Linked DNA regions of Sus scrofa. The protein of the gene in region 4 purifies or fractionates together with the protein of the main gene of each other region. This does not show direct contact. Links are inferred from orthologs where the notes say so. Each region holds a gene or a part of one and is shown on either strand. Other genes may lie near its edges.

Evidence for each region.
Region 1: the proteins of PRPF19 (region 4) and KNSTRN purify together in Homo sapiens (affinity purification with mass spectrometry; 4 studies listed by BioGRID and IntAct, counting the BioPlex papers as one, with this or other methods). This does not show direct contact. The link is inferred for Sus scrofa from reciprocal best matches to the Homo sapiens genes PRPF19 and KNSTRN.
Region 2: the proteins of PRPF19 (region 4) and CWC15 purify together in Homo sapiens (co-immunoprecipitation; 4 studies listed by BioGRID and IntAct, with this or other methods). This does not show direct contact. The link is inferred for Sus scrofa from reciprocal best matches to the Homo sapiens genes PRPF19 and CWC15.
Region 3: the proteins of PRPF19 (region 4) and SNRNP70 fractionate together in Homo sapiens (co-fractionation; 3 studies listed by BioGRID, with this or other methods). This does not show direct contact. The link is inferred for Sus scrofa from reciprocal best matches to the Homo sapiens genes PRPF19 and SNRNP70.
Region 5: the proteins of PRPF19 (region 4) and SF3B1 purify together in Homo sapiens (co-immunoprecipitation; 4 studies listed by BioGRID and IntAct, with this or other methods). This does not show direct contact. The link is inferred for Sus scrofa from reciprocal best matches to the Homo sapiens genes PRPF19 and SF3B1.
Region 6: the proteins of PRPF19 (region 4) and SNRPA1 fractionate together in Homo sapiens (co-fractionation; 3 studies listed by BioGRID). This does not show direct contact. The link is inferred for Sus scrofa from reciprocal best matches to the Homo sapiens genes PRPF19 and SNRPA1.
Region 7: the proteins of PRPF19 (region 4) and BCAS2 purify together in Homo sapiens (co-immunoprecipitation; 10 studies listed by BioGRID and IntAct, counting the BioPlex papers as one, with this or other methods). This does not show direct contact. The link is inferred for Sus scrofa from reciprocal best matches to the Homo sapiens genes PRPF19 and BCAS2.

The regions. Positions count from the first base shown.
Region 1 is NC_010443.5:130,927,355-130,931,812, forward strand, and holds the start of KNSTRN (small kinetochore-associated protein), read right to left. Parts: upstream 2,819-4,458; 5' UTR 2,464-2,818; coding exon 2,255-2,463; intron 2,092-2,254; coding exon 1,997-2,091; intron 1-1,996. UniProt on the Homo sapiens protein: Essential component of the mitotic spindle required for faithful chromosome segregation and progression into anaphase.
Region 2 is NC_010451.4:27,040,775-27,044,438, forward strand, and holds part of CWC15 (spliceosome-associated protein CWC15 homolog), read right to left. Parts: intron 3,391-3,664; coding exon 3,302-3,390; intron 1,918-3,301; coding exon 1,804-1,917; intron 1-1,803. UniProt on the Homo sapiens protein: Involved in pre-mRNA splicing as component of the spliceosome. Component of the PRP19-CDC5L complex that forms an integral part of the spliceosome and is required for activating pre-mRNA splicing.
Region 3 is NC_010448.4:54,298,219-54,301,591, reverse strand, and holds part of SNRNP70 (U1 small nuclear ribonucleoprotein 70 kDa), read right to left. Parts: intron 1,624-3,373; coding exon 1,518-1,623; intron 1-1,517. UniProt on the Homo sapiens protein: Component of the spliceosomal U1 snRNP, which is essential for recognition of the pre-mRNA 5' splice-site and the subsequent assembly of the spliceosome. SNRNP70 binds to the loop I region of U1-snRNA.
Region 4 is NC_010444.4:10,850,415-10,854,603, reverse strand, and holds the start of PRPF19 (pre-mRNA-processing factor 19), read right to left. Parts: upstream 2,826-4,189; 5' UTR 2,810-2,825; coding exon 2,791-2,809; intron 1,119-2,790; coding exon 969-1,118; intron 812-968; coding exon 735-811; intron 9-734; coding exon 1-8. UniProt on the Homo sapiens protein: Ubiquitin-protein ligase which is a core component of several complexes mainly involved pre-mRNA splicing and DNA repair. Required for pre-mRNA splicing as component of the spliceosome.
Region 5 is NC_010457.5:101,335,091-101,339,286, forward strand, and holds the start of SF3B1 (splicing factor 3B subunit 1), read right to left. Parts: upstream 2,929-4,196; 5' UTR 2,627-2,928; intron 1-2,626. Other genes in the region: COQ10B (coenzyme Q-binding protein COQ10 homolog B, mitochondrial), read left to right, coding at 3,099-3,220. UniProt on the Homo sapiens protein: Component of the 17S U2 SnRNP complex of the spliceosome, a large ribonucleoprotein complex that removes introns from transcribed pre-mRNAs.
Region 6 is NC_010443.5:145,706,050-145,710,251, reverse strand, and holds the start of SNRPA1 (U2 small nuclear ribonucleoprotein A'), read right to left. Parts: upstream 2,860-4,202; 5' UTR 2,782-2,859; coding exon 2,700-2,781; intron 1,204-2,699; coding exon 1,056-1,203; intron 89-1,055; coding exon 10-88; intron 1-9. UniProt on the Homo sapiens protein: Involved in pre-mRNA splicing as component of the spliceosome. Associated with sn-RNP U2, where it contributes to the binding of stem loop IV of U2 snRNA.
Region 7 is NC_010446.5:105,991,218-105,995,427, reverse strand, and holds the start of BCAS2 (pre-mRNA-splicing factor SPF27), read right to left. Parts: upstream 2,871-4,210; 5' UTR 2,778-2,870; coding exon 2,685-2,777; intron 2,576-2,684; coding exon 2,483-2,575; intron 1-2,482. UniProt on the Homo sapiens protein: Required for pre-mRNA splicing as component of the activated spliceosome. Component of the PRP19-CDC5L complex that forms an integral part of the spliceosome and is required for activating pre-mRNA splicing.

The DNA.
Region 1 (4,458 bases), on a different chromosome or scaffold from region 4:
TGGCTCTGGAGTAGGCTGGCGGCTACAGCGCTGATTTGATTCGACTCCTAGCCTGGGAACCTCCATATACTGAGGGAGCAGCCCCAGAAATGGCAAAAAGACAAAAAAAAAAAAAAAAGGAATTCTATTGCAGAGTTCCCTTGTGGCACAGCAGGTTAAGGATCCAGCACTGCCACTGTAGCAGCTTGAGTCGCTGCTGTGATGAGGGTTCAATCCCCACCCAGGAACTTACACATGCCTCAGGCACAGCCAAAAAATAAAAATAAAAAATAAATTCAAAAAATAAAAGAAGGAGGAGTTCCCGTTGTGGCTCAGAGGGTTATGAACCCAAGTAGTACCCATGAGAATGCAGGTTCAATCCCTGGCCGCGCTCAGTGGGTTAAGAATCCGGTGTTGCCACAAGCTGCAGCACAGGCTGGCAGCTACAGCTCCAATTTGAACCCTAGCCCGGGAACTTCCATATGCCCAGGGTGTAGCCCTAAATGGGAAAAAAAAAAAAAAAAAAAAGAGAGACGCTAAAGAAGGAACTAATTGGCTATGTCAAGGGAAGACTTGTTTTTTGCTATCATTTCCTAATTTCGGAATTTTTTTTTGTTTTTACATGTGCATATATTACCGATTCAAAAGCTAAAAACCAGCCAACTCATGCCTAAAATCAAAATTAAAAAACCTGGGAGGCAGCCTAAAAATGCTAAACTATTGAGGCTACACAGGATCACAAAGCTGGGACAAGGAGAGAAATCAAAGAGATGAAAACTTCCAATTTGGCTGGGGAGAGCCAGTCATGCCCCACTGAATGGGAGACACTGTTCCCTTAAGGGAAAGGCAGCATAAAAGCAGATCCAGTTTCCCCCAGCAACACCTAAGCCCTGCTGACACCAGGTGCAAAGAGAACACTTTGGCCTTTTTTTTTTTTTCTTTTTTAGGGCTGCACCCGCAGAATATGGAAGTTGCCAGGCTAGCGGTCTAATCCGAGCTACAGCTGCCAGCCTGTGCCATAGCCACAGAAACGCAGGCTTGGGGGCATATCTGCCACCTATACCACAGCTCATGGCAACGGCAGATCCTTAATTCATTCATTGATTGAGGCCTGGGATTGAACCTGCAACCTCATGGTTCCTAGTCTGATTTGTTTCCACTGCGCCATGACAGGAACTCCCACAGCACTTTAGGCTTTTGGAGAAAAGCCTATTACTTCACAGGTCAATCCTGCTAGTGCTCATCAATCAACTGCGTGGAGTCACTGGGAAGGGATCTTAACCAGCTGCTTCAAAATCTCCCACCAAAGGTGCTGATGTTTGAAGCCTGTTCTGGGCTACAATCTCTAGATTAGGCAGCTCCACACCTGCAGGCTCTAGGCGATGACTTGCAACCACAAACCAAAGAACACAAAGCCTGATGGCAAAGCAATCAAACATTGCTTTTAACCATGTCTCTTCTTCCAAGGTTCCCAAATACTAGCTAGGCCTGTCCCTTCTCTCTCACTTCACCCAAAAAAATGTTTATTATGTTCTATGTGAGACACACTGTACAGTTACAAATGTGAACCAGATACCATGTGAACCGACTGCTTCTCCCTAATAAGTATCCTGTCTTTCAAATGACTCTCTTTTCCCCTCAGTCACAACAAACCCAGTACCTCCAGATACCCCAAGTCTGGAAATAAAACTGGCAAATGTTTAAAAAGGGATTCCTAGCTTAATGGGATAACACTATAAAATAATCATCAACTTAAATCTAATTGGTGAATGCTCAGCTTGGGGGAATCCGGATATAGGGCGAATCTACAAAGTCCCACCATCTGGCTCTTTCCCTAACTCCCATAAGTCTAGACAGTCCGGTTCTAAGGGAGTTAGTGGGCTCTCAGAGCCGACAGAATGCCCTTCCCTGCCGACACCCTCCATTCTCAGCTGCCAATTTGATTCCTCGTACTCCCTGGCCTGACCACCCCAGGCAGCGCCCTGGGGGCGGGGGTGGGGACGGCATAGGCACCCACCTGCGGCCAGACAGCTGCTCAGCACAGAAGTGGGCTGCAGGGTGTACACTGTCTTAACCACGCTGGTCATCGTAACGAGGCAGCACGACTGGGGCCTGGAAGGCACAAGCTGAATGTTACCCAGGGCTGGCCCAGGGAACCCAAGCTGACGGAGGGCCCCAGGAGAGCACGACGTGGAATAGAGAAAATTCTTCAATTCCCAGTCCATCCCATGGGCCTCCTACACCCAGCCAGTCTCCAGACCCAGGAGAGCCGAACCTAGGCGCCTGCTGCTCCTGCCCGCAGGCCTCGTCACTCGAGTTCAAAAGATGCCGGGCAGCAACTGCCGTAGCGCCGACAGAGTCCGCCGCCTCGGTTTCAAATGGAAACTTCCGGTGGCCTGGCGGGAGGGGGTGCGGTGAGCTCCCTGTAGGCAGCCATGTTGTACGGAAGCCACTACTATGGGTGACGCCTTTGGGGGCTGCCATGCTGTACGGAAGGTCCAGAGTGGAGGGGCGAGCTTGAGCTTCCTGGCGATGGGTGTGAGAGCCCCCAGGTCTGGGCGGGGGAGGGGAGTGGTGCACTTCGCCGACTTGAATGGAGCTATGAACCTACCAGCGTCATATTCTGGCCTTGGGACGCAAACGCAGTCACCTTTAGAGTTCATGTCACAATCCTTTTCTTTATTTGGTCTGTGATTGTCAGGGGTGTTGCATGATGCTCAATTGCCAGGAGCATAGAGGTGGGTGGGCCGAAAACTACACCTTACGGGGTGGAGAATGGTAGAGTTAAGAAACCAACTAGTATTCATGACGATGCGGGTTCCATCCCTGGCCCGGCTTAGTGGGTAAAGATCTGGAGTTGCCCTGAGCTGCAGTGTAGGTGGCAGACGTGGCCCGGATCCCACGTGGCTGTGGCGGGCAGCTGCACCTCCCATTCGACCCCTAACCACAGGTGCGGCCCTAAAAAGACAAAAAAAAAAAAAAAAAAAAAAAAAGTCTAACCTCCTGGACTCTGCCCTCTAGGAAACAGCAAATAATCTCATAAACTAGTCAATGTGTCTCAATTCAGCTGTAAAAAAAAGTTTATATTTACCAACTGTAGTAAAACTATGAGGGAAGAGGGAAAAGCAAGGAAACCTAGTTTATTTTAATTTATTTATATTGGCAGCACGTGCAGCATGCGGACCAGGATGGAATGTACCCCAGAACAATGAGCAGTAACAACTCTGGATCTTTAACCCATTGCACTACCAGGGAACTCCAAGGAAACCTAGTTTGTTTGTTTGTTTATTGCTTTTTAGGGCCGCACCCACTGCATATGGAAGTTCCCAGTCTAGGAGTTAAATTGCAGCTACAGCTGCCCGCCTATGCCACAGCCACAGCAATGTTGAACTGTTTCTGCAACTTATACCACAGCTCATGGCAATGCCAGATCCCCAACCCACTGAGTGAGGCCAGGGACTAAACCCTTGTCTTCATGGTTACTAGTCAGGTTTGTTCCTGCTGAGCCACTATGGGAACTCTCAAAACCTAGTTTAAATTGTAGTTCAAGGAAGACATCAGAGGTGATGTTTGACTAACAAAGGATGAGGAGGAGTTAATCAGGTGAACAATGGGGGAAGAGGAGAGAAATGTGAAATCTCAAGGTAGGAATGGGCTTTTCCTAGAGGGACGAAAAAAGATGGGAGAAGAATGTCACCGTCAAAGCTGGAGAGATAAGCAGTCAAATGACAGTCAAATGGTCTATCTTTGTAGACCAAAGATAACCAGGTTGTAGTTCAAATATAAAGAGATTTTTTTCCTTAAGAGTAATTAGAAGTCTTTGAAGTATTAGAGCAGGAGGGTGCCATTCAATTTATATTTTAAAAAGTTCACTGTGACTACTACTCCATGGAGAATGGACTGAAGGAGAGCAAGAGTGAAATTAGAGAGAGTTGGGAGGCTACTGTAATTAATCAAGTGAGAGATGATGGTGGTTTGGCTGAGATGATAGTGGTGGTGGAGATGGAGAGAGGCAGACGCACTTAAGACAGCTTTTGGAAGCAGAATCTCAGGACTCAGTATTAGACTGGATATGGGGGAAGGAGGGGTAAGGAAGAGGGATAGTTTAAGGATGACTCCCAGGCTTGAATAATTGTGTGGATAGAGTCATTATTTTGTGTTTGGGGGGGTGGGGGCTGAAAATTCAGCTTTGAACATGGTAAATCTGAAATGCCTTTGAGACATTCCAGTGGAGCTGTCAAGCGGGCAGCTGGAAATACAGGCTTTGAGCCCAGAGGAGAGTCTGGGTTGGAGATATACTATTGTGAATTATGAGTATTTGTATGTATTTAAAACTATAATATTGGATGAAATCACCAAGGGCAGAAGTACAGAGAGCCTTAGGACCAAGGACAGGAATGGCAGTACTTAGAAACTGCAGTGATAAGAAGGTGCCAGCCAAGAAATCTGATAAAGAGGTGCTGAAGAGGTGAGAAGAAC
Region 2 (3,664 bases), on a different chromosome or scaffold from region 4:
ACTGGTTGATTGCCACACACAGCACTGGGGGAAAAAAGGTGCCAACTCTTTCCATATTCAAGTACCAGGTACACTGTTTCCTGACCACAGCCATAAAGGATGGACAGTCTGCCATTTGGTCAAACCCGAACCATCTTGTTTTGTTAATGAAATTTTATTGGAACACAGTCACATTCATTTATTTAGGTACTGCCTACGATTGCTTATACCATAATTAGCAGATGGAAGCTATATGACCTGCAAGCCTGAAATACTTACTATCTGGCCTTTTACAGAAAGTTTCCCAACCCCTGACACAGGTTGACAAGTTTGAGAACATTTTGAAACACCTCAAAAACCAGCCACTAGAAAGCCAGACAGGGAAACAGAGACAAGAAAATTAAAACTGTTATTCAATTCCAAAAAACACCAACTCATCTTTGTACAAAGAAATCAGATGAACCTTGCAAAAGTGCCAAGATCCCCTGTCTGAAATGTTTATGCTCCTTAAAGATCAACAAAACACATTTAAATGACTCTTTGTATATCCACAGCTGTGAAGAAGGCCAGCAGGATTTGGAATAGAGCAACTGCCCTCTTGTGGTGTGCAAGTGGTATTAGGAATGGCCTTACAATTCTACAGGAGTTATGCTATCCAAATTTTGATGATTTTAAATATATTTTTTAATATTTTTAAATATATTTTTAAAATTTACATTTTATTTTTTGTAATTTTTTAAATAGAACCATTCTTGGTTCAAACGAAATCTTCCACAGAAGTCCGTAAAAAAGCTCAAGTGCCTCACACACAATTCTGTTAAATTCAGTGTGTTCCAAACAAACTCATCATATTTCTCTCCTCGGAAACATGCCCATCCTTCTGCATTCCTGAATTAGGGTATGGCACCAACACTGACCCAGAAACTGCCACCTCTAATCAGTTACCTTCTCTGGCCAATTCTTCCTCCTTGACAGCTCTATCAGCATCTGTTTACTTCTCTCAAATCCAACTCGTGTCATGCAAGATTCTCCTAACTGCACCTGAGGATTACTGGAACGGCTTCCTAATCAGTTCTTTCTTCCACTCTCCCCACTGGCAAAGTAATCTTTCTAAAATGCAACCCAACCTTACTGTCTCCTGCTGAAATGGACTAGTTCTGCGAATCATTCCGAACAGAGCTCAAACCTCTTTAGAGCTGCCCTACAAACCTCTGGTGCTCTGACTTGCTCTTGCCATCCAAGTTTTCTCTCTTATTGTTACTGTGATGGTTTGTTCGTCCAAAGTTTAAAGGTACATACCACGGATCTCATTTAATCCTTCTAATTGTCTTTGAGTCAGACATTCTTTCCTTCCATTACGTAAACACAGAGGCTGTGGGGACTCAGAAAAGCTGGGTTATAGAAAATCCACTGATAGGCGGCCTCAGCAAGGTGCCTGGAAAGAGGCCTGGGGCAGACGAGAAGCAGAGAGATAAAGATGGCCTCTTTATACCTGTGGGCTCTCTGTAGGCCACGACTGCATCTTCACGATCTTTGATTCTTCTGACACTTAACAGACACTGACCAAATGTCTGTTGAACAAATAAGTGAATGAAGAGCAATGTGATGAGTTTTATTATTAAAGGGTCTAAACTAGTTAGAATTTCCCATATAAGTGGGAGACTGAGGATGTCACAGAAATTACCAGATTTATAGACCTCCAGGTGCTATAATATCTAGACATAGCAAGGATGAGTTCCAGTATAAGGTGATACCACTTACATTAAAAAACATTCTACTTTAGCTAATGTAAGAAGATATAAATATTTAACACGTTGGTTTTACCTTCCTGGCCTGCTCTTCAGCTCGCTCTTTCTTGATTTTTTCCAGCTCTGCAAGAAGAGCTGCGGTATCATCATCATCACTTTCCTCTTCAAAATCTTCATCTTCATCCTCCTCCTAAAAAAGAATGGTGATGGCCCAGGAGATTAGAGACAAAAGAGACATTATTCTTTTTTTTCCATAAAAATGACACTTATCAAATCTTTGGAGCAGAATTTTCCTAGTTGGAAAAATAAATGTACGTAAATATGATTAGAAGCAGTAACCAACCAAAAAATAAAACACCACAAAAAGCTTATGATTGCTTACTAAAATGTCAATACTCTGACTATTTTAGACATTATAACAGTAAATAGTATAATGAAGTACTTTTCAAATTTACATGGTCAAACAAATATTTACATATGAAAACTTTTTTTTTTCTTTTCTTTTTTTGCTTTTTAGGGCTGCACCATGGCACATGGAACTTACTAGGCTAGGGGTTGAATCAGAGAGCCATGTCTTCAACCTACACTCCAGCTCATGGCAACTCCGGATCCCCAACCCACTGAGCAAGGCCAGCGATCTAACCAGCATCTTCATGGATGCTGGTCAGATTCGTTTCTGCTATGCCACAATGGGAACTCCCTGAAAATATTTCTAAAACCTGAAAAGGAACACTGTATACTGAGGTACACTATATATTGTGATCCTGGGAATTAAAATAATTTTATATAGCTCAGAATAACTAGGAAGTAAGGATAATCAAAAGTACCAAAAGAGGGTACTAAATTCTCAGAGAAAAAAATTTCAGACGAACAATCATTAAATCTCACTTAAAACTGAGTTCTTTATATTTAATTACTGAGTTAATTTTTAATTCAGTCTGTCTGCTCTAGAATTACTTATATATGCTTAATTAGATGCTACCCTAGAAAAGGCACTCAGATTTTTCCTCTGCATGTAGAAAACTGCAAATTAATTATATGCCCTGAGGACCCACTAAATTTTAATGTTAAAGTACCAAAACTTAGAAACCTTCCAGTTAGATCACATACCTCCCTAGGCACAGATCGAGCCACTGAGTGCATGAACATCCGGAAAGGGCATCACTGGTGGCAAGTGTGGAAAGGCCCCCACGTTCACTGTAGGGGATGTTACTGATACAGAGCCCAGTCTGAGGAGTGCCCTCTGGAGGGGTATAACTAGTCCAGTTTCCCCGGTTTAATACAGGGAGCTATTTTTTAGGGAAGCATATCTTTTAATAGATCTCCTCCTTCACTGGTTCTCCAGGGATCGAATTTAAAGTCTGATTAACCGTAAGAGAAGGCTTTTTGTTTTAAAATAAACGCTAAAATTTAGCACTGAAGTCAGGGCTGTAATTGAGCAACAGGAAGTCAAAATAAATACAAATCACTTCTTAAAGCCAGAAGACTAAATACAACAGTATTTAAAAAAAAAAAAAAAAAAAAAAAGATAAGTAAATCACTACACAGAGATGAGAGGAGGGAGTAAAACGTACATCTGTTAGAGGGTCATCTGCGTCGAGGTTGGCGGCAGGAATCTGGTCTAACCGAGGCTTCTTTGACACCGAGGAGGAGGTTGTATGTTCTACGGGAAAACAAACATCATTTAGCTTACTGAATCAAATCCTGCATTTCTTATGATATTTTAGGGGCCTGTGGGCACAAAGAGCTTAAGTCTTAGGCATGAAAGTAAGGATTATAACCACAGTGCCTGGCAAATAAGCCCTTGGCAAATATGTGTTGAATAAATTAATAGAAGTATTGATTTTAATATGGGAACTGTAGCCTTGCTCAGGAAATTCAGAAAATAGTTTGCATTTGCTAGAAATAAAAATGGGAGAATTTTTCTTTTCTTTTCC
Region 3 (3,373 bases), on a different chromosome or scaffold from region 4:
AGGCTCAGAGACTCGGCAGAGGAGAGTGCGGTCTACTCAGCACACAGGTCGAAAGCGAGAACAGTGGCCTGGGAGGACAAAGGACGGACCATAAGGGACCCTCCTGGGACGTCCACCCAGGAAGATGGTTTTCTCTGACAACAGCTTCTCCCGCTCACAGGAGCTCGTCCTCAACAGCCATGTCTGGATGGCAGGACCTCAGCCCAATGTTGAGCCATTTTGATTCACCCACCTGGAAACACAGACTCACCCAGGGCTGGGTGCAAAGCAGGCACTTGTTTTTTTGGTTGTTTTTTTTGTTTGTTTGTTTTTTGGGGCCAAACCTGCAGCATATGAAGTTCCCAGGCCAGGGGTTGTAATAGAGCTGCAGCTGCCGGCCTCCACCACAGCCACAGCAACGCCAGATCAGAGCTGTGTCTGTGACCTACACCACAGCTTACAGAAATGCTGGATCCCCAACCCACTGAGTGAGGCCAGGGATCCAACCTGTGTCCTCATGGATACCAGTGGTGTTCGTTAGTGCCCAGCCACAACAGGAACTCCGAAGCAGGGAGTTTGAAACAGCACACTGGACCAGTGTAGGTACCAAAGAGTCTGGTTTACAGAAAGAGTGAACAGCGTGGAAGCAAGCTGCCACAGGTGGTTCCTGACAGTTAAGGTCTGGCCACGAGGCCGTCAGAGGACGGTCACAGGCATCACATGCCTCTAGGCTCCAAAAGACACTAAGATTCTCTATCAACAAAGCCCCTTTATACCTTAGGAAGCACAAATGTCTTTTTTGGGGGAGGACGTGACTATGGCACATGCAAGTTCCAGAGCCAGGGACTGAACCTGTGGCACAGCAGTGACACCACCAGAGCCTTAACCCATTGTGCCACAAGAGAACGCCCAAGGAAGCACAAATTTCTCATACGTGTTATCCAATTGATCTTGACTGAGACGGTGACCGATAATTAGAGACAGACAGTGAGGGAACTGGACGGAGAAGGCTTTGAGGACAGAGACGCCATCTGTGTATGTCCTGCTCTTGACTAGGAGCCTGGTACACAGCTGGTGACCAAAGAGGCGTTTGCTAAACCAGTGAATGAATGATCGAACAACAGAGAGGAGGAAAGCATAAACAGATGAGAGTGACTCCAAGACCCAACAAATGCCACGTGCCCAGCTGGGTATCTGACGGTTGAGCTCAGGGACCTGAGGTTAGCCCCACTTTCCAGGACGAGGGAAAAGGAGGGATGAAGAGTGGAAATCCACCAGCCACGAAGCTCGAAAGCCAGAATTCGATCCTAACTGGCTTCTTTCTCTAGGTCAGTCCTCCTGCTCCTACTGGGTAACCCAGAACAAGCAGACAGACCAGAAGAATGACGCTGAGAACAAAGGACGAGCCGGCGCGAGGAAGAAAGGATGGGCGCAGCCAGGAGAGAAAGAGAGGACAGAGCGCGGCAGGAGGTGCAGAAAAGAGCTAAGAAAGGAGCCCCCAAGGGCAGGACCCCAAGCCCAGCCTCAGCAGGACGTGCTCACCTAGCCGCCGGGGCCGCCAGCCCTTCACAGTTCGGCCCCTCTCCACGTCCACGAGGACTCTCCTGCCGTCAATCTTCTTGCCGTCTGCGTGCTTGTAAGCGGCTGCAACAGACGCGGGGAGGGGGAGGGGAGGAGTCCCCAGAGGGTCCTCTAGTCAGGCTGAGGCCCAGCCCTGCGGCATCCCCGCCCCCCGGGTCCCCATCAACACACTCGCACACGTGCACACACACCACACACACACCCCCACACCCACCAGACAGCCAGGCAACTGCCAGCCAGACCCATCCCTTCCCAAACAAGGAGGGGACTGCTCCATCGGCAGCTGCTCATCACCCCCAGTCGCCACTGGGGGGCAGACCACGCCCCCCCCCCCCCGCCCCCCGGCTCCCAGGCCGTCCCAAGTCCCCACTCCCATTCGACAGAGCAGCCCCCCCTGCCAAGGTGGCCAAAGTCGCTGCAAAGAAACCAGAGGTTAACTTAAGGCTGGACTCTGCTGCGGGGGAGGGCTCCCCCACAACCCCAGGCATGCACCCTAAAACATCATGCTGGGGGAGCAGGCCCAACTGGGCCCCTCTGCACCCCAGTTCACAACGGTTTCCTTTTTCTGTGGGTTTTTTTTTTTTTTTCCGGGGAGGGTGAGTGTGGGGGGAACAGACATCAGAACAGAAAATGAACCAGAGGGGGAGGGAGATCTTTAGGAGATGGAGGAAGGGAGCAGAAAGGCGGGCTATGGGGCTCCCAGGGGGCCTGGAGGGGCCCCTACAGCAGGTGGGGCTGAGGGGCAGTGGAGGGAGATGTGGGAGACGTGTGGTGCTACTGCAAATGTCCTGCCTTACCTGAAAGGCCTGCGCCCAGCCCCGGCCCCATCCCATTGCTCCCGCAACACCTCCAGCGCAACGGGCCCTGGGAGGCCGGCCCCAGCCTGAGCCTCCCGGGAGGCGGAGGAGCAGAGGGGAGCTGTGGGCAGAGGCCCCCTCCCTGGCCTATCTCTTGGGGGGCGGTTGGGAAGGCCAGAAGAGTCCCTGTTGCCCACCCCCGGCCCTGGCTAGGGGGCTGTCCTCAACCAACCACAATACCCTGCCCCGCCCCAGCCCTCGCCCCCCCAAATAACAACCAGAGGAAGAGAAAAAGGTGCCATTTACCGATGCCGGCCTTGCGGGTGTCCAAACCGAGCGGGATGGGGGGGGCTCGGCAACTCCTGGGGGCCTGGCGAGGAGGCGGGCTTCCCGGGGGGGGGGGGACACGGGACCGCTTACCTGGAGCCCCCAAGCTTACCTGAGCACGCGCACAGACCCCACACCCACCACCACGAGGTCAGCTAAAGCTACAGGGAAGGGGAACCGGGGCCTCTAGGGAGCCACGGGAAGGAGAGGGGCCACACCTCCTGCACCACCTGGAGACAGGCAGAGGAAGTGGCGGACCCCAAAGAGACCTCGTGGAGGCCTTGAAAGGGGGACACGAGGACTCACGCCAAGCTTGGGAGCTGTAAAGCCAAAGGCCTATCTTGTTGGAATTTAAAAAGAAGGCCAGGGAGGCCTTACGAACCTGTGCACCTTCCCTTTCTCCCAGCAAAGTCCGAGCTACACTAGGCACACGCCCCCGCCCGGCACACGGAAGGCCTCTTCCGCCTCGAGCTCCGCACTCCCTCCCACCACCTGCTTCAGCCCAAAGGCTGGCCTGCAGCAGACAGCCCTGGGGGTCCAGGAGACGGAGCGCTGTCCGCGATCCGAGGAGGGGCCGCGCGGCCCCTGCGCCCAGAGGAGGGGAGCAGGGGAAGGCGTTTAGGGACTGGGAACCCAGTCAAGCAAAGGAGCCCTGCTCTTGGTTCGGAGTCCCAAACCCCAGACGAGGC
Region 4 (4,189 bases):
ACTGCGTCCTGGGGACGAGACACCACAGTGAGGGGTGGGGAGCAGCATGAACGCCTGCATAAGAGTCAGCGCTGGATAAGAGGACGCTGCCTCCTACCTCACGGCCTGGGCCAGGATCAGTGACCCAAGTAGCATCCAAGCAACCTTGAGGGCACGGGCAGACACTCCTGAGCTCCCACCCATGCCCAGACTGGGCACACAGACAGGAGTGGGAGCCAGCTCTTTCCCATCCCATCTGCACTAATCACCGCAATTCTCGGACATCATGCTGTTACCTCCCCAAAGGCAGTGACAACGCCACTTCTGCGATTTAGTGACCGCCCTCGTTGTGTCAGGCATGGCGCCAGACTGCTCAAGACTTATTCATTCTTCATATTGCAAGGCACCTACTATGTGCCAGGCACTGCCCTCGATGATGGGGCTCTAGCAGGAGTCACACGAGTCCCTGACATCAGGAAGTTTATACTCTCTTATCCCAATTCTCCCAAAACCCAGAGAGACAGGCACCAATCCTGTCACATGGTCAAGAAAATCAGGGCTCAGATGTGATACGAGCAACCCCAAGGCAAGTGTGCAAGGGAGCAACATGTGGAACCCAGATCTGTGTGACGTCAACAAGCAGGCTCTCCTCTGCTCCCTCCCTAGCTCGAAACAGAACACAAGGCTCCAGCCCTCCCACCCCGACGCCCAGTCCATCAGGCGGGGAAGATACCGACTCTCTTCCAGGGACTCACCCACTCATCCTGCAAGGCTTTCAGAATGGCTGGGATGCTGGTGGCTGAGGGAGGCTTGGGCCGGATTGGGTGAGCAACTGTCAAGAGAGGGCAAGTGGGTGTGAAAACCCGTGGCCGGCCAGCCTGCCCCTCCCCCATGCTTCCCCTTCAGCCTGCGTTCACAGACCACCACCTCCTCCCCCGCCCCAGGCTCTGAGCTAAGATGGCCCTGGACTGTGGCCAGTCAGCAGGCACCTTTGATGTCAATGAGCTGCTCCTCGGACAGAGGCTGGTTGTTGATGGGATCTGTGCCATTCTCTGCAATATACTTCTCAATGAGCCGGCGCTCGTAGACATGATTAGAGACAGGGGACACGCATGGGTGCTCTGGCACTTCATTGGAGACTGTGGAGAAAAGGCAGGCAGTGAGCCTGGGCTGTGGGAAGGGACCTTGGGCCAAAGGGATGCTTCACCTACTACCAGCCTCCAGAGGCCTACACTCAACCGATGAGAATCAACCAGAACACCAAGAGCCAGTTCTGGTCTGTACCCAGAACGCTTTCCAGCCTTCTAACTAGCTGCTCCATCAGCCTCCTGACAGTCAAATAATCAACAAATAGTTACTACACAACGACTAAATGCTAGGTACCTAGAGAGCAGTCAATAATCTCTGCCCGTCTCATTTCTGAACAAAGATGCTTAGGTACCCATTACACTGCAGAACAGGGAGACACACACAAACCTCACTTAAACCTCAGGCTAAAGCCTAGATGGATTCTCAAAGAGATGTGACAAGTGCTATAATAAGAGAAAGCATTTACGTGGTGTTTACTAGGTGCCAAGCACAGCCTGTAAACACTTCCCATTGCTTAAATCATCCCCACAACAACCCCCAACTGAGGTATCATTTACACCCTTGAGGATAGAGATTATAGCTGGCTTCCGACTTCCAGGACAAGGCAGATGCCCAGCAGGCGCTCAGTAAACATCTAAGAGATGAGCCAAAGAGAGGAAGGATGGAGCTTCCTTAAGGGCTTCCTTAAGATTGAAACAATGAATGTGAAAATACTTGGCACACTATAATTTCTTTAAGGTGTACCTTTCCTTTATCTAGTCACATTTCCCTTCCCCCTTTCTTTCCTTTTTTTTTCTTTTGGATTTATGGAAAGGTTCTGAGAGGAGTAAAGGGCCTGAGAGTTAGGAAGCAAAGAAAGAAAAGGATGAGAGACTAATAACCCAATAACAATGAGTACAAAATATCACAATAAAATACCGAAAGGAAAGACAGGTCAAGGCATTTGAAAAAAGCACAGATTCATGGTCAGGGAGAACCTGACTCCATCACCCAGCTCTACCACTTACTAGCTGTACTGTTTTACAAAAGCCACATTCTGCTTCAGCCTTACATCCTTATCTGTAAAACAGGATCTTTATTTCTGCTCTGGAGAAATGAGAACATAACAAGATCACAGTCTTGCAAACGAGCTGTAAATCAACAGAGGCTTTATAAAAGTGCGCTGTTTTCAGCAGTCCGTAAAGGGTGAGGCTGGAAGCCAGGTCCCTGGCTCCCAGCCCTGTCACAGCCTGTAACTCACTGTCCGACCTTTGCAAATTGCAGAAGCTCTGCCTACCCGAGCAGGGCCTCAGACAACATCCAGTGCCAAGGCCCTCATTTTGCAGATGGGGAAACTGAGGCCCGCATCCTTGCGCCACATCACAAAGCCAATCTGAGGCGGATCCTGCACGAGCCCTCGCATTTCCTAATTTCTACAGCAGAGCTGTTTCCCCTGCACCAGCTCCCTCTATCCAGGCCTCTGTTCAACTGCGCAAACAAGGTGGGTGGCCTCGGCGCTGCCTGCGACAATACACTTGAGGCGTTATGTAAACTGTGAAGCGTTGCGCAAATGCACCCCACGCTTGAGGAGGAGGACCCCCGGGGCTGACAGGCCGCCGCCCTGCCCCCCCGGGAGCCGCGTTTTCACCTCCACCCCCGCCCCGGCGCCGCAGAGGCCCGCAGATCCTCCCACTCGGCTCTGTGGCCTCCTGCGCCCAGCGATCGGCCACAGGCGATACTCACTAGAGCAGATCAGGGACATGTTGCCGTAGCTGCGCTCCGAGGCTCCTCACACCTGGCTTCGGATCAGCTTCTGAGCCCGCGGGGCCCACTTCCGGTTCCCCGCTGCTTCCGGGACGCTCCGCGCAAGCGGGGAGCGACCCCGCTGGACGATGCTCCCGCAACGTTTCACGTGGGACAGCGGCTGGTCGCGCGCCTCAGCCTCCAGCTTTTAACGGAAACTGTCCTTTCCCAGAATGCAACCGGGCAGGAAAGGGCGCGCCAGGAAGTACTCGGCTATTTCCGGGCCCGCTCGGCTCCTTTCGTAAAGCTCTCTTGGGGTTGGGGGAAAGGAGAGCCGAAACTACATTTCCCGTGATGCAGTGGGAGTTTTAATCCAATCAACTCAGTAATTTTTTAAACCAATCAACTCAGAAACTTTAAACCAATCGACTCTTTTGAGACCGGAGCGGGAAGGGGGGGCCTTGGGATCGTAGTCTTGCAAACGCTGTTGCGAGCGAGAATTACCCCGCTTCTCAAAACGCATCTTCCTGGGGTCCGCTGAAGAGAGCGTTTTCCATGGCTGCTCCCACGTGATTCTTGACAAGTGTTTCTCGGAGTACCCTTTGAAAGGTCCAAGGAAGAAGGCGCGGATGCTGATAGGTGAAAAAACTTTTCTGATGGCTGGGTTCTCCGCTAGACTGTAAATTCCATGATGGCAGGAACCACAGTTGTTCTGGTTATTGTTGTTTCTAAGAGGCTGACACAGTACCTGAAATATAGCAGGACTGTCACAACTATTGTTGGTTGAATGCCAGGCATTTTAAGTACTCAGATGTGGTAGGAAATAAAATGGATCCATTTATACATGCACCCCAATGTTCACTGCAGCACTATTCACAATAGCCAAGACTTGGAAACAACCTAAGTGTCTATCAACAGATAAGTGGATTAAGAAGATGTGGTACATATATACAGTGGAATACTACTCAGCCATAATGAAGAACAAAATAATGCCACTTGCTGCAACAGAGATGTAACTAGAGATGATCATACTAAGAAAGAGAAAGACAAATACCACGTAATAACACATGTGGAACCTAAAATATGGCACAAGTGAACCTATATACAAAACAGACCCACGGACAAGAACAGACTGGTAGTTGCCGAGGGAGAAGGATGGACTGGGAGCTTGGATGTAGTAGATGCAAACTACTATATTTAGAATAGTTGGACTGGAGTTCCTGTTGTGGCTCAATGGGTTAAGAACCCAACATGGTGTCCATGAGGATATGGGTCCATGGCCTCCCTCGGTGGGTTAAGGATCCAGTGCAAGCTTCAGTGTAGGTCAAAGGTGTGGCTCAGATCCTGTGTTGCTGTGGTGCAGGCTGGCAGCTGCAGCTCCAATTCAACTCCTAGCCCA
Region 5 (4,196 bases), on a different chromosome or scaffold from region 4:
CCAGCGTTGCCGTGAGCTGTGGTGTAGGTCGCAGATGCAGCTTGGATCCCGCATTGCTGGGGCTCTGGCATAGGCTGGCAGCTACAGCTCTGATTAGACCCCTAGCCTGGGAACCTCCATATGCTGCGGGAAGCAGCCCTAGAAAAGGCAAAAAGACAGAAAAAAAAAAAGAAGGTGCCAGAAATGAGATTATGTTAATTTTGAAAGCTTCCTTTATTTCAGGGAAAAAAACATAAATGATGTTTAAAGGTCTTATTCTGTCATTAAAATTCATCCTCAATCTGGTTTTGGTTCTTTGTTTTGTTTTTTGGCCACTCTGCTGGCATTTGGAGTTCCCGGGCCAGGGATCAGATCTGAGCAGCAGTTGTGACTGTATAGCTATGGCAATGCCAGATCCTTTAACCCACTGTGCTAGGCCAGACATCCTAAGTCCTGGTGTTGCAGAAATGCCACCAATCCCATTTCACAGCGGGAACTCCTCCATATTTGTTTTCACTGGAAGGTTGATTAAAAACTGTAACACAAAGTCATAGCCATCTCTATTTACCTGAAGCCTTTCTGGTTCTGTTCAATCTATATGCAGGATTCTGAAGTAAGCAAAAGGTCAAAAAAAGTATAATTCTAATGGACATTAATAATGAAAATCTCACTTGGAACAATCACATGAAAGGCAGAAAGTAAATGTATGTGTATGCTTACATCCACAAAAATTAGATATAACACTACCATAAACTCCCAATTACCCACACCCATTTCAATAATTATCAACAAATGATCAATTTTGTTTCATACACTCTATTCCTCCACCCCCACTAGATTATTTAAAAGCAAATCACAAACCTCATTTGTACCCGTAAAATCTTCAGTATCGATTTTTATTAAAGTAGATATTTTAGCTGAATTTCTCAGTTTTGTATATGCCTTTTTTTTTTTTTTTTTTTTTTTTTTTTTTAGGGCATATGGAAGTTCCCAAGCTGGGGGTCAAATCAGAGCTTCAGCTGCTGGCCTATGCCACAACCACAGCAACTTGGGATCTGAGCTGTGTCTGCAACCTACACCACAGTTCATGGTAACACCAGAACCTCAACCCACTGATTGAGGCCAGGGATTGAACATGCATCCTCATGGATACTAGTCAGATTTGTTTCTGCTGCACCACAACTGGAACTCACTGCATGTCTTTTTATATATAGTTTGTTCAAAACAAAACCCAAATAATGCCTCTTAAATCTTGGAAAGTTCAGCAGTCTCCTCACCCCCAGTTCTCCTTTACTTGACATTTGTTGATGAAATTAGGTCATTTGTCCCACAGAATTTTCCATATTCTGTATTTGGCAGGTTGTATCCTCTTGGTACCATTTAATATGTTCTATTCCTTGTTTAAACTGGTGTAACATAAAAGCTTGACCAGATTCAGATTCAATTATTTTGTCAAGAATACTTAATAGGTGGTGTTGTATCAAATATATTTTTGGCAGCATAACTGGTTTGGACTCTAACATACTGCTTCCCACAGGTCTCTGCTGAGTTTCAATTTACTACCAATCTTCTCCTATTGTAGAGACAGATTTTTAGCCCCCATTTGTGGAAGCACTGTCATCTACTAAAACTCAACCAGAGTTTATTATCACCTTTAAGTTTATATTATTCTTTCCTTTGCTGAGAAGTCAAATGAGTACTCTACACTGTCATCTATTACAAAAATTCCTTTATTTGCCTTATAAGTTTTAATTGGTAAACTATTCAATTGGGTGACTCAATTCAATAGATATTTTCTTGTGTCTGGGAAGAGTTCAGTGAGAAAATTTTGGATTTAACAAAAGAAGGCCTTGGCGTTCCCGTTGTGGCTCTGCGGTAATGAATCCGACTAGTATCCATGAAGATATGAGTTTGATTCTGGCCCTGCTCAGTGGGTTGCTGTAGCTGTGGCGGAGGCCAACAGCTGCAGCTCTGATTCAACCTCGAGCCTGGAAATTTCCATATTCCTAAAAAGTCCAAAAAAAAAAAAGCCTTATATTAAGTACACAAGTACATCATGTCTTGCACTGAAAATGTTAACAGGCCTTCTAGTTAACAATACCAGTAGTTTGCAATAGGAGTCAGTAGGATGTCCTAGTGCAATGCCTGTATTTTGTAGACAACTGGTAACCACTGGGGTATTGAGTGGGGGAGTAATACGGTTAAGATGTGTTTTAATGTAAATCAACTATACTTCAATAAAACTTTTTAAAACGTGTTTTAAAGCAATATGTTTGAGGCAATATTTAAAGTTCAAGACAAGAAGAGCAGGGACTGGGTATTCGAAAGTAATCTGATATTGGATTATTTCGATGCAGCTCAGAACCACCTCAATGGACAAGAACCTCCTGTGTTGTACTGGAAAATGCTTAATATGCTTTCTAGCAACGGATTTCAACTGCACAAAGCATTATCACATACGAACACCAATTAAAATGTTGCCTACACAGGCAGAAAGCAAACGCCCCCGAGTCTCTTTCCTAACGACATGGCCTTACACTGCCCTCACACCAACCTCACTGGGTAAGCACGGCAGGTACTGTATTAGACAATCATTAACAACAAGACTGACGGCCAGCAGGGATGGCAGGTCCGACCCAGCACTCACCGGTTTGGATAGTTACATAACTAACACCTAGAATTTCGGGCTTCCTCCCGCCCCCGGGCTGCGCTCATGTGGCGAGCCTCACGACCGGAAACAGCACCCAAGAGAACCGCGGCGGTTGACGAATCCGGGGAAGAGTTCCAGCGCGGGAAGGGGGGTGAGCGGTCACCGTGGACCTTACGTAAGGCGCCCAAGCGCGCGGCAGGAACTAGAGAGTGGCCGGCGGAAAGAGGTGGGTACCGATGGCCCTACGCCCCCTCTGATTGGCAGGAAGGATGACGAGCGCGTTTACAGGACGCCCTGCGGCAGTGGGAATGTGCGTCAGCTCTGCGCAATCTGGGAGGGAGAAGGGGCGTGTCTGGCGGCTCAGGGGGCCCGCCGATTGGCTGGAAGGCGCCGGCGCCGGGAAGGTCGGGCCCCGGGAAGGAGGGCGGTGCCGTCTGCCTGGTCCCAGAGGCGCACCGGCTTCGGTAAGATGTTTGTGGCAGCTCGGACAGGCCAGAGAACCTTGAGAAAGGTGGTCTCGGGATGCCGTCCAAAATCGGCGACAGCGACCGGAGTCCCGGCTCCTGCGCAGGGGCCTCCGCGGAACATCAGGTAATGAACAATGGGTTCGCCGCATTGGGGGTAGTTTTCCGCCCAGCCTTGCCGAGCAAAGGGACCGGGGTCATTTGGGGTGAAATAGGCGAGCCCGATGAGTTTCCCGGTCTCTGGAGAGAAAGGGTAGGTCTGCTGCCTTTGGGGCCGCGCGCATTCCCCGCCCGCCCCCCCGCGTTGGGCTGAGGCTCGCTGGCCTGTTCCGGATGCCCCGTCTGTTTGTAGTTCGTTGCCCTCGCGAGAGGCGGTGAATCATCCGCCTAGCGACTTTAGAAGCAGCTGATAAAGCAGCTCCGCGGAGGTGCCTTTGGGCTCTTCCGGGCCTACTTATGCTGCTCTCGGAAAGTTAACTGCAGCGCCAGAGTTGCGAGTTGATGGGTTTGTGGGAGTTTGTTGCCTGGCGGTGAGCGTGCCCAATGGCCAGACTTGCTTTCTCAGTTTCTTGTTAACAGTTTTTGCCCCCGGCCTTTGGTGCTTGCTAAACTCAATTGAAGCCGAAATAGGGGACTTGTGGATTTTGTTTTCCGTGCTGTTGGAGCTTAGCGATCCTGTAACACCTTGAGCCAGAATCTGCCTTCACTTTTCCTGGTTGTTGGGTTTTTTTTGTTAGGTGATGGAGGTGGAGACATGAAGGATTCCATACTTAGACCGCGTAGTTTCCATTTATTAATGACATTTTAATACATTATGCTCGAAAATTAAAATTAACGTTTAACATGAATTCCAGTTGTAAACTGTACAGGGTGGAGAGAGAAGGCACAAATTTGGATTCGCTCCAGAACTTTTAGATTCAATAAATTTTTTAAATACCAACAAGCCAAATTAGTAGCTTATTTTATTTCTACTGTTCTGCTTCATTTAGCAGAGTAACTATTACTAATTTTTATTGGTATACTACCACTTTAAAGCAAAGTGTATGAGTTTACTCAGAAAATGTTGTTAGTATTATTACTACCTTTAAAATTCACTGAACATA
Region 6 (4,202 bases), on a different chromosome or scaffold from region 4:
TCAACTTACCAATTCCACAAGACTATTGTTGGTGAGAATGAGTTCTGTCAGACAGGGCAGAGCCTGATCAAGTCCCTCACCTATACGGCTGAAATAAAAACAGAAGGACTCTTAGTAAACATGCAAATTAAGTCAGCTAAAAATTTTATCTGAGCCCTTGCTCAGAGGGCTTCAGAGTGGGAAGAAACTTAAGAGATCTTTCTTCCAAGACCCTGACAGGAAAATAAGGCACAAAAAGAACTGTCTGAGGTCACACAGGTGACAGAAGTAGGATGACTTTAAAACCCACATCTCCTGAAAGATGTCCAGGGCCCTTCCTACTGCCACACTATCTTAACGAAACCAAAGACAAGAAATTCCTGTGTAAAACAGACTACTTAGTTCATCTCAGGACCTGTGTGAAGCCCAAAAACATAAGTGATTCTGCAGTCAGAGCTCAGGCACAAGATAAGCCAGTAAGCAAACCACAGTGGAATAGTTAACTCACGAGAAATAATGGGCATTTAAAAAAAAGCAACTCACTACCCAGCACTTCTATTGTGTGTGTGTGTGTGTGTGTCTGTGTGTCTTTTTAAGGCTGCACCCACAGCATATGGAGGTTCCCAGGCTAGGGGTCAAATGAAAGCCAAAGCTGCCGGCCTACACTACAGCCACAGAAATGCCAGATCCGAGCCACATCTGCTACCTATGCCGCAGCTTATGGCAATGCCAGATTCTAAAACCACCAGGCAAAGCCAGGGATTGAACCCAGATCCTCATGGATACTAGCTGGGTTCTTAACCTGCTGAGCCATAATGGGAACTCCCCAAAGCAGTAGGTTTTTAACTTAAATTAGAAATGTACCATGAATACATAAATAATACAAGATTTCTGAATAGATGCAAGTAAGACCAGACCAATACCAAATTCATCTCTGGATCTGTATGGGAAAAGTGTAGTTCATTTTCCATTTAAGAAATACGTAGGTGTAACTGGCAATACTGCAACTTCTTTATGGAACTCTGCTACATTTACTCTAGGGGAACAAAAATTACTTTCCACTAGTAGACACTTACCATATTCTATTGTTGTTCACTAACAATGTTTTCAGTCTTCTCAGCAAAGGAAAACCATCTAGTTTCCTGATTTCATTGTCAGAAAAATCAATGGCATCAAATTGGTCTAAGGTAGCACCTAGATTTTCAATGACAGGAATTTTGTACCCTGGAGAAAGGAGGGAAAAAACACACAAGGAAACATTAGCAGCATTTCATGGTAATTGGACTCAAAGCTTTCATTCAATCAGAAAGTTGTTTATCTAGCACCTATGCTGTGCCAAACACTGCCAAAGCACTGGTTGATTACAAGGGCAATAAAGATGAGAATACTCGCTAACAGTAATACTAATAGGTAGCTAACATTTCCAAGTATACTTACAAGGTGCCTTGTATTGTTCTAAGCAAGGCCCCAAAGCTAATGAAGTGGCCTAACAGGACTTTACACTGTGAGCTGCCTACTGTCAGTGTCCAAGCCTTGTCCACGTATTGTGGACAGTAATAGCTCCCAACCTTTTTTGCATTTCCACAGGTCAGATTCCCAGAACTCATTTGGATATCTTCGTATCATGACAGTTCCCACTTCTCTCACCTCCCAGAGGCCCAACCCAGAGTTGAAGGTCAATTTGTACACAATGGTAAATCACCTTGTGAACAACTCACTCAAACGCTCACTGATTTGTCTTCTAGGGGCATAATTATTGTCTTAGGTGCTAGGAGAAGAAAAGAAGTTAACCTAGGCAAGGTTAAATAAGTACACATTTCAGAGCTCTAAAGGCTCAAAGTTAAGTGCTGTACCAAAACGAGCATTCTCAACACCGGATGCACTTCAAACTCAGGCAGACATCAGCCTGTGCCAAGAGTATGAAAGCGGTGGGTTACTCTTGAGTCGAACCTATGATATTTAATTTCAACAAAACGAAAGTACTATGTCAGCAAACAAAAAAGCAAGCAGAAAGCAGGGCCCGCAGCAGTGCTGCTCCTGAGACGGTGTTCTCCCCCGTGGGGGTGGATCTCAAGCCAACACTTAACCCCGGAGAAGTCGTCCTTCACACCCTTTCTAAAGCCTCTCCTACTATGCAGACGAGTTGCCACAGGAATCTAATAGTCTGGAGGACTTCCGCCTCCCTTATAGACGCAAGACATCCGGCAGCCCTAGCGTGGCTGAAACAGTCTGCTCTTTGAAAGGTTTTGGCAAAAGGGAAATAGATCCTTGAAGCTAAGGAGGAGGAAAAGCCGGGAAAAAAAATCGCTTTTGCTCCGGACTTCACTTCCTCCGTCCCATACCCAACCTATATTCTCATGACTTCACTTTACCGTATCTCGGTCCGCACGAGGATCACAAACACGGCTCAGCACCCCAACGGCTCAGCCCACCCCGCAGGCGTGTACTTCCCCGCCCCCCAACGGCTCAGGTCACTCGGCAGGCCCGGCACCGGCCCCGCGGTCTGACCCAAGCATCGAGGCGGTCCCGGGCGGTGGGGGCTGGGCTAAGGAGAGCCTCGAAGGAGTCCAGGGTCGGCGTTTCGCCGACGACAGCGGGACTCAGCCGGGGTAGGAACCGGGACGCACGCCCCAGGCCACGTTCCCGCCCTTCGCGCACGCGGCGGGCGCAGGCCGCCGAGCGGGCGGGGAGGCCGGGCCGCCCGCCCCCGCCCGACTCACCTCGCAAGTCCAGCTCGCGGTCCCGCACGGCGTTGGTGTATTGCGCCGCCTGCTCGATCAGCTCCGCCGTCAGCTTCACCATCCTGTCGCCTCCCGCCTGCAGTGTCTCCCGCTCCTCCCGCCGCACCGACGTCCCGGCGTACCCCGCGCCCGCCGCCAGGCAGCATCAATCGCTTCCGGCGTGTGCTAACAGCGCGGCTCCCAGGCCTAATCAATCGAGGAGCCATTTCCTCCGTGATCGGCCCCGCCCCCGGGCTCGGGCACAGCTTTTGGGCTTTAGCTCCCGCGCTCTCCGCGGCGCATCTGGTTCTGAGTTCGTTCCTCTTGTGCAGCTTCGGCCTGCAGTGCCCCCGAGTCCAGATATTTGTGTCCGCAAGTTAATAAAGAGTGAAAGCCCACGAGTGGAACTTTCGCGTGCGTCAGGACACCTAGAGGTGAAAGGGAGGCAGTGACTGCTTTCACTCCGCCCATGGGATTCAGTGATGGGTCCCGGGCTTTGGCATCCGGGTGACACCATGAAGACCAAGCCTGGGTCTTCCGCACTGGTCTAGTTTGCAGTCAGGCCTGCCCTCTCTAGACAATTAGATATTCATGCTGAAGCCTGATAACACAGGAAGTGTGCAGATCTAAAGTCTGCAACATGACAAATGCCCACAGAGTGAGCACATTTGGGTGGCTGCTGCTGGGGTCCTGAAATTCGGAGACTCCTTCATTCCCCAAAGGGAACTACGAATCCGTCACCATAGATTAGTTTTGCTTACTTTTATATAAAGAGAATGATGCAATCTGTTTTTGTATCTGGTTTCTTTGGCTCTGTGTCATGCCTAAAATCCATCCAGGTTGCAGGCAGCAATGATTTGCTTACTTGCTGCTGTATAGAATTCTATTGCGTCTCTTACACCATAACAATCCATTTCGCTGTCGATGGACATTAGGTTTGTTTCCAGCTTGGGGCTAGTCTGCATAATGCTGCTATGAATTTTGTTGTACGTGGATCGCATGCACCTGTGCCTGAACTTTTCCAGGAGTGAAACTAAGGAGACAAAGTGTGTGGTATTATTGATAGGTACTGCCTGATGATAACTTCCAAGAGGCTGGAATCATTTCCACACTGTAGTGGTGTGTAAGGGTTTCCATCACTTGCCAACATTAACCTCATTTGCACTGTCAGTCTTCATAATTTTAGCAATTCTGGTGAGTACCAGTGCACTATTGCTTTCATTTGCTTTTTTCTAATAATAGTTAAGCATATTGTCCATTCTGATATTTTTTTACAAAGTGCCCATTCAAGTCTTTCTCCCATTTTTTTTCTTAGTGGGTTTTCTTTTTTCTTATTCCTTTTAAGATTTCTTTATATATTCTGAGTGTGAGCATACTATATGGCTTGCCTTTTACTCTTTTTTGGGGGGTAGTAGTTTAAACTTCCTAAATACCAAACACCTCACAGGAAGCCAAAATACTGTCCTCGTATACATCATCAAGCTGCAAAACACAAATTTTAGT
Region 7 (4,210 bases), on a different chromosome or scaffold from region 4:
GTATCCATGAGGATGCTGGTAGATCCCTGGCCTTGCTCAGTGGGTTAAGGATCCAGTGTTGCCGTAAGCTGTGGTGTAGGTCGCAGATGTAGCTTGGATCTCGCATTGCTGTGGCTGTGGTGTAGGCCGGCAGCTGTAGCTCTGATTCGACCCCTAGCCTGGGAACTTCCATATGCTGTGGGTGCAGGACCTAAAAAGAAAAAAAAGAATGGAGACTAGAAGAAGGGACAAAAGGAACTGGTTCTGCTGTTTGCTCCAACAATTTTACTATTAAAAAAAAAATGTGGTATAGCTCTACCTCTTCAGGCCAATGTTTTGGTCAACATTCTATTCCGTTTAGACTAAAGAGTAAGCTAAAAAGGACTTCCAGAAGCCCACATTCCTTGTTTAAAAGTTCTGCATTAAGTATGTCTTGTTGGAGAAAGCCTTTTTTTTTTTTTTTTTTTTTTTTTTTTTGGAATACTGCTGAGCTGCACACACCTCTAAGAAAATGTGGTTATTTTGTTTCCTGCAGACACTAAGGCATTCTAGCTAGAAGGCTATGCACAGTGACAGATAAAGAGTAAACACTACTAATGAGGTGAGAGAAACTACAAAAATACAGCACACACAACCTTGAGCCACGTAACATAGAAGCCCTTACCTAACTCACATGGCCAATAAGTGAGAGATCTGGAATTTTAACTCAACTCTCTCCAAAGACTGAGCCAACACTCACAGGGCTGTCATATAAGAAGTCCAGGCATGAATGGCACATGGTAAGCATTCGTTAAATCAGAATGCCTTAGGAGCTCTTCATACATTCAACTGACAAATATTTGGGTGCCTATTGTGTGCCAGACACTGTCCTAAGGGATGAAAATACAGTGAAGAAGACAAAAAGGATCCCTGCTCATGGAGTATCATCTCAGATTACATAGGCCTTCCTCAACCATCCTATCTAAAGTAGTCACCCAGTCACTCTGTATCACATCATTACTTTAATTCTCCATGTAGCTTTACCAATAATCTAATAATTTCTGATCCGTCTCTACACTCTAGAATGTAAACTCCTGTTCCCCAATAACTTAAAAAGAATGTCAGAAATAGTTGTTAAATGAATTAATGAAAGAGCAGCTTCAAAGGCAGTTTGAAGATCATGGGGAAGTTAGTAAGCTGCACTTTTCCTATCCAAAAAACTGGTATAAAAAACATACAGTTTACAATTCACAGGACTGCTTTTAGGACTGAGATAGTGAGCTCAGTACACTATTAGCTCCTACTATTAAGAATCACTATACTAATTATAAAGATAGAAGTATAGGTTCTACTCAAGAGACCAAAAAAGAAAACCTGTTCAAGTGTTTAAAAGTTTGTGATTGAATGAAGTTATCTGAAATTTTCAGAAATCAGGCTAATAAGGACTTATTATTACTGTACCTAGTTTTTTTTTTGTTTTGTTTTTTTGTCATTTTAGGGCCACAGCCTTGGCATGCTGAAGTTCCCAGGCTAGGGGTTGAATCAGAGCTGTAGCTGCCAGCCTATGCCACAGCAACGCAGACCCAGTGGCCTCTGTGACCTACATCACAGCTTACGGCAACACTGGATCCTTAACCCACAGAGCATGGCCAGGGATCGAACCCAAGCCCTCATGGATACTAGTCAGGTTCGTTAACCACGTGAGCCAGGACAAGAACTCCTGTGCATAGTTCTTAATACTGTAACATCTACATTTGGGTGACATTTAGAAAAAGCATGGGAAAACAGGATGCCATAGGAACATCTCTCTCCTACTTAAAACTTAACCGATATATTTTTTTCATGTTACTTCAATAGAAATACTGCTTTTTATAAGAGATTTCTTTTGTAAATAAATGGTTACCAGATATGGGGAAAAACGGAACATGTATATACTAAAATGCCTAACAGAATCCATTAATTTAGAAATATTTTACATTTCATTTAGCTGATTAGACCCTAAATAGTATTACAGATGCACTTCTAAATATTTAAAGGGTGCATTACTTAGATACGGTTTGTCTCTTCAGTCATTCTCACAGATTCAGAAAATACTTAAACTTTGGTTCAAAGACCGCCCTCCAGTGGTTCTCAGAAGCTTAGGTAACTAGGCTTTTGTGTATTTAAAAAACCCTAGATCACTTGTTTTGCAGTAGACCTTAAAGAGAAAAGGATCCCTTTGAGAATTTACGCAGTGAACCTACCTCGGAAAAACGTTAACATTCGTTTTTGCATTGTTAGATCAGTTCGCGAAGCCCTAGAAAGTCCTTCTGTGGCTCTAAGAATAAGAACCCGGGAGACAGTTTATCCATGCAGCTATTTTCAATTGACTGACACTACCTATACCAATGAGTAAGCTGTGGCTAGGCAAGTAACAGTTAAAGCTGGAATCTGAAATTCACTTTTGTGTGGCTAAGGCTCTCAATCCAAAACAAAGATTCACAGGATCCTGGTTTATAACGTGGACTCAAAATATCACACTCACTTCAAAAGCGGAATAATCTGGGGCTGTCAGGTAGCTCAAGTAGTTCTTGGTAGGTCGGTACCTGCGAGTTTCCTCCTCTACCAACGCCGCGGCCTAAGAAAGAGAACAGAGGCCAAAATAAGAGGAGCACATCGTTAGGTCAGTCTTCCAGCCCGAAGTGTCCGCGAGCGCTGAGTCAGTCACACAGACACCCGGAACTTACCGCTTCCCGCACACCAGGCGCTTCATAACCCTGGTCAAAATACGGCAGCGCGTCTACAACAACCTCTCCAGCCACCAAACCGGTGCCCGCCATTCTTGGGCTCGCCTGACTTCTCTGAGTCTGCGCGGGCTCAGGCTCGCTTAAATAGGCCTGCACCCGATATTAACATAATCACGTTGCCGACGTCCGACACCTACGTAATCACGTCGAACATGTAATCACGTCTATCGTCAGCGCCGACACTGTCCTAAGCACGTCGCTTGCGTAATAGCTTTTGGCGCATGCTCAGTTAATTCCGAGGGCGTGCTAACTAGAAATTGTCCAGCCTTCTTGTTTTGGTCGGACGTGACGTCATGTTGTGTGGCTCCGGAGTCTGCAGGAACGTCTCAATTTCCTGTCCCCACCTGCTGCGCTTTTTTGCCTCCGATTGGCAGCCAAGTGGAAGAGTTGGGACTTTTGGTTTCCTCCGGCTCGCTGATATCTGGGAGGGGAAACCCTTTAATAAAACTTTTGAGGGAGGGGAAACCCTTTAATAAAACTTTTGAGGGAACTCGCTGCAAGATTTAGCGAAGAGAAGGATCCTGGTTTCCCACCTCGGCTTTATTCCCCTAACCTTCCAGTCTTCGGTTAAACTACTCTCCCTTTTCACTTCCTTGCTCTATCTGCACTATTGTTCTCCGTCCCTTGAGAATCTTTGCACCGAATAAGTGGAATAAGTGCAGCTCTCGCAGACTCTAGAAGTGGGCGTTAGACTCCAGTGAAAACTGCGAAGCTTTGGAGTCTGGAGTGTGCCTAACAAAAGGAACCTGATCTTCCCCCGGGGCGAGATTGGTAACTGCCCACTAACCTCATCTTTTAAAAAACTGATTTTTGCCTTCAGGACGTGTATAAAATCCAATCATTTTGCTTTTAGGGCTTCTGGTAACAGGACAATCTTTCTCATTGCATCCTAACACTCGTGATACTGCCAGTACCTATTTCCAGCTCCCTTTGATTAAGCAGGGGAAGACTAAATAAGGTAGGTAGGACTCTATACCGTGTCCGGTGTGCAAATATCGACCCAGACTTTGCCAAGAGCCTGGAAATGTCGGCCACGGTTATTAAGCTTGAACCTAGGATTATCTTTTAACCTACCATTAATTAAGTGTGCTAGCTATATAGATTTAACTGAAGTAAAAAATCTACAACTTAAGCCATTTAAGATTCTCCCAAGAGATCCACGGAATTTTTTGTTTATTAAAAGATCTGTAAACAACATTTTATACAAATCTTGAGCAATTACTTTACAAACATGTCCAGAATTTGTAATACTTTACAAAAGCAAAATAAAAGACTTAAGAAAAGGAAGCAGCTTCAGATTGCAGGGATAAAATAAGACCCCCATCCCTGTAGCAAAGCAAAAGTCTCCTCACAGAGGGATGGCCAGGATCCACCAGTTACACCTTCTATCCCCATTTTATAAACACTCAATTCCCAATTACTAACTGTTCCCTCAGGATTGGAGTTCCCTCAGAAGTGACCAAATG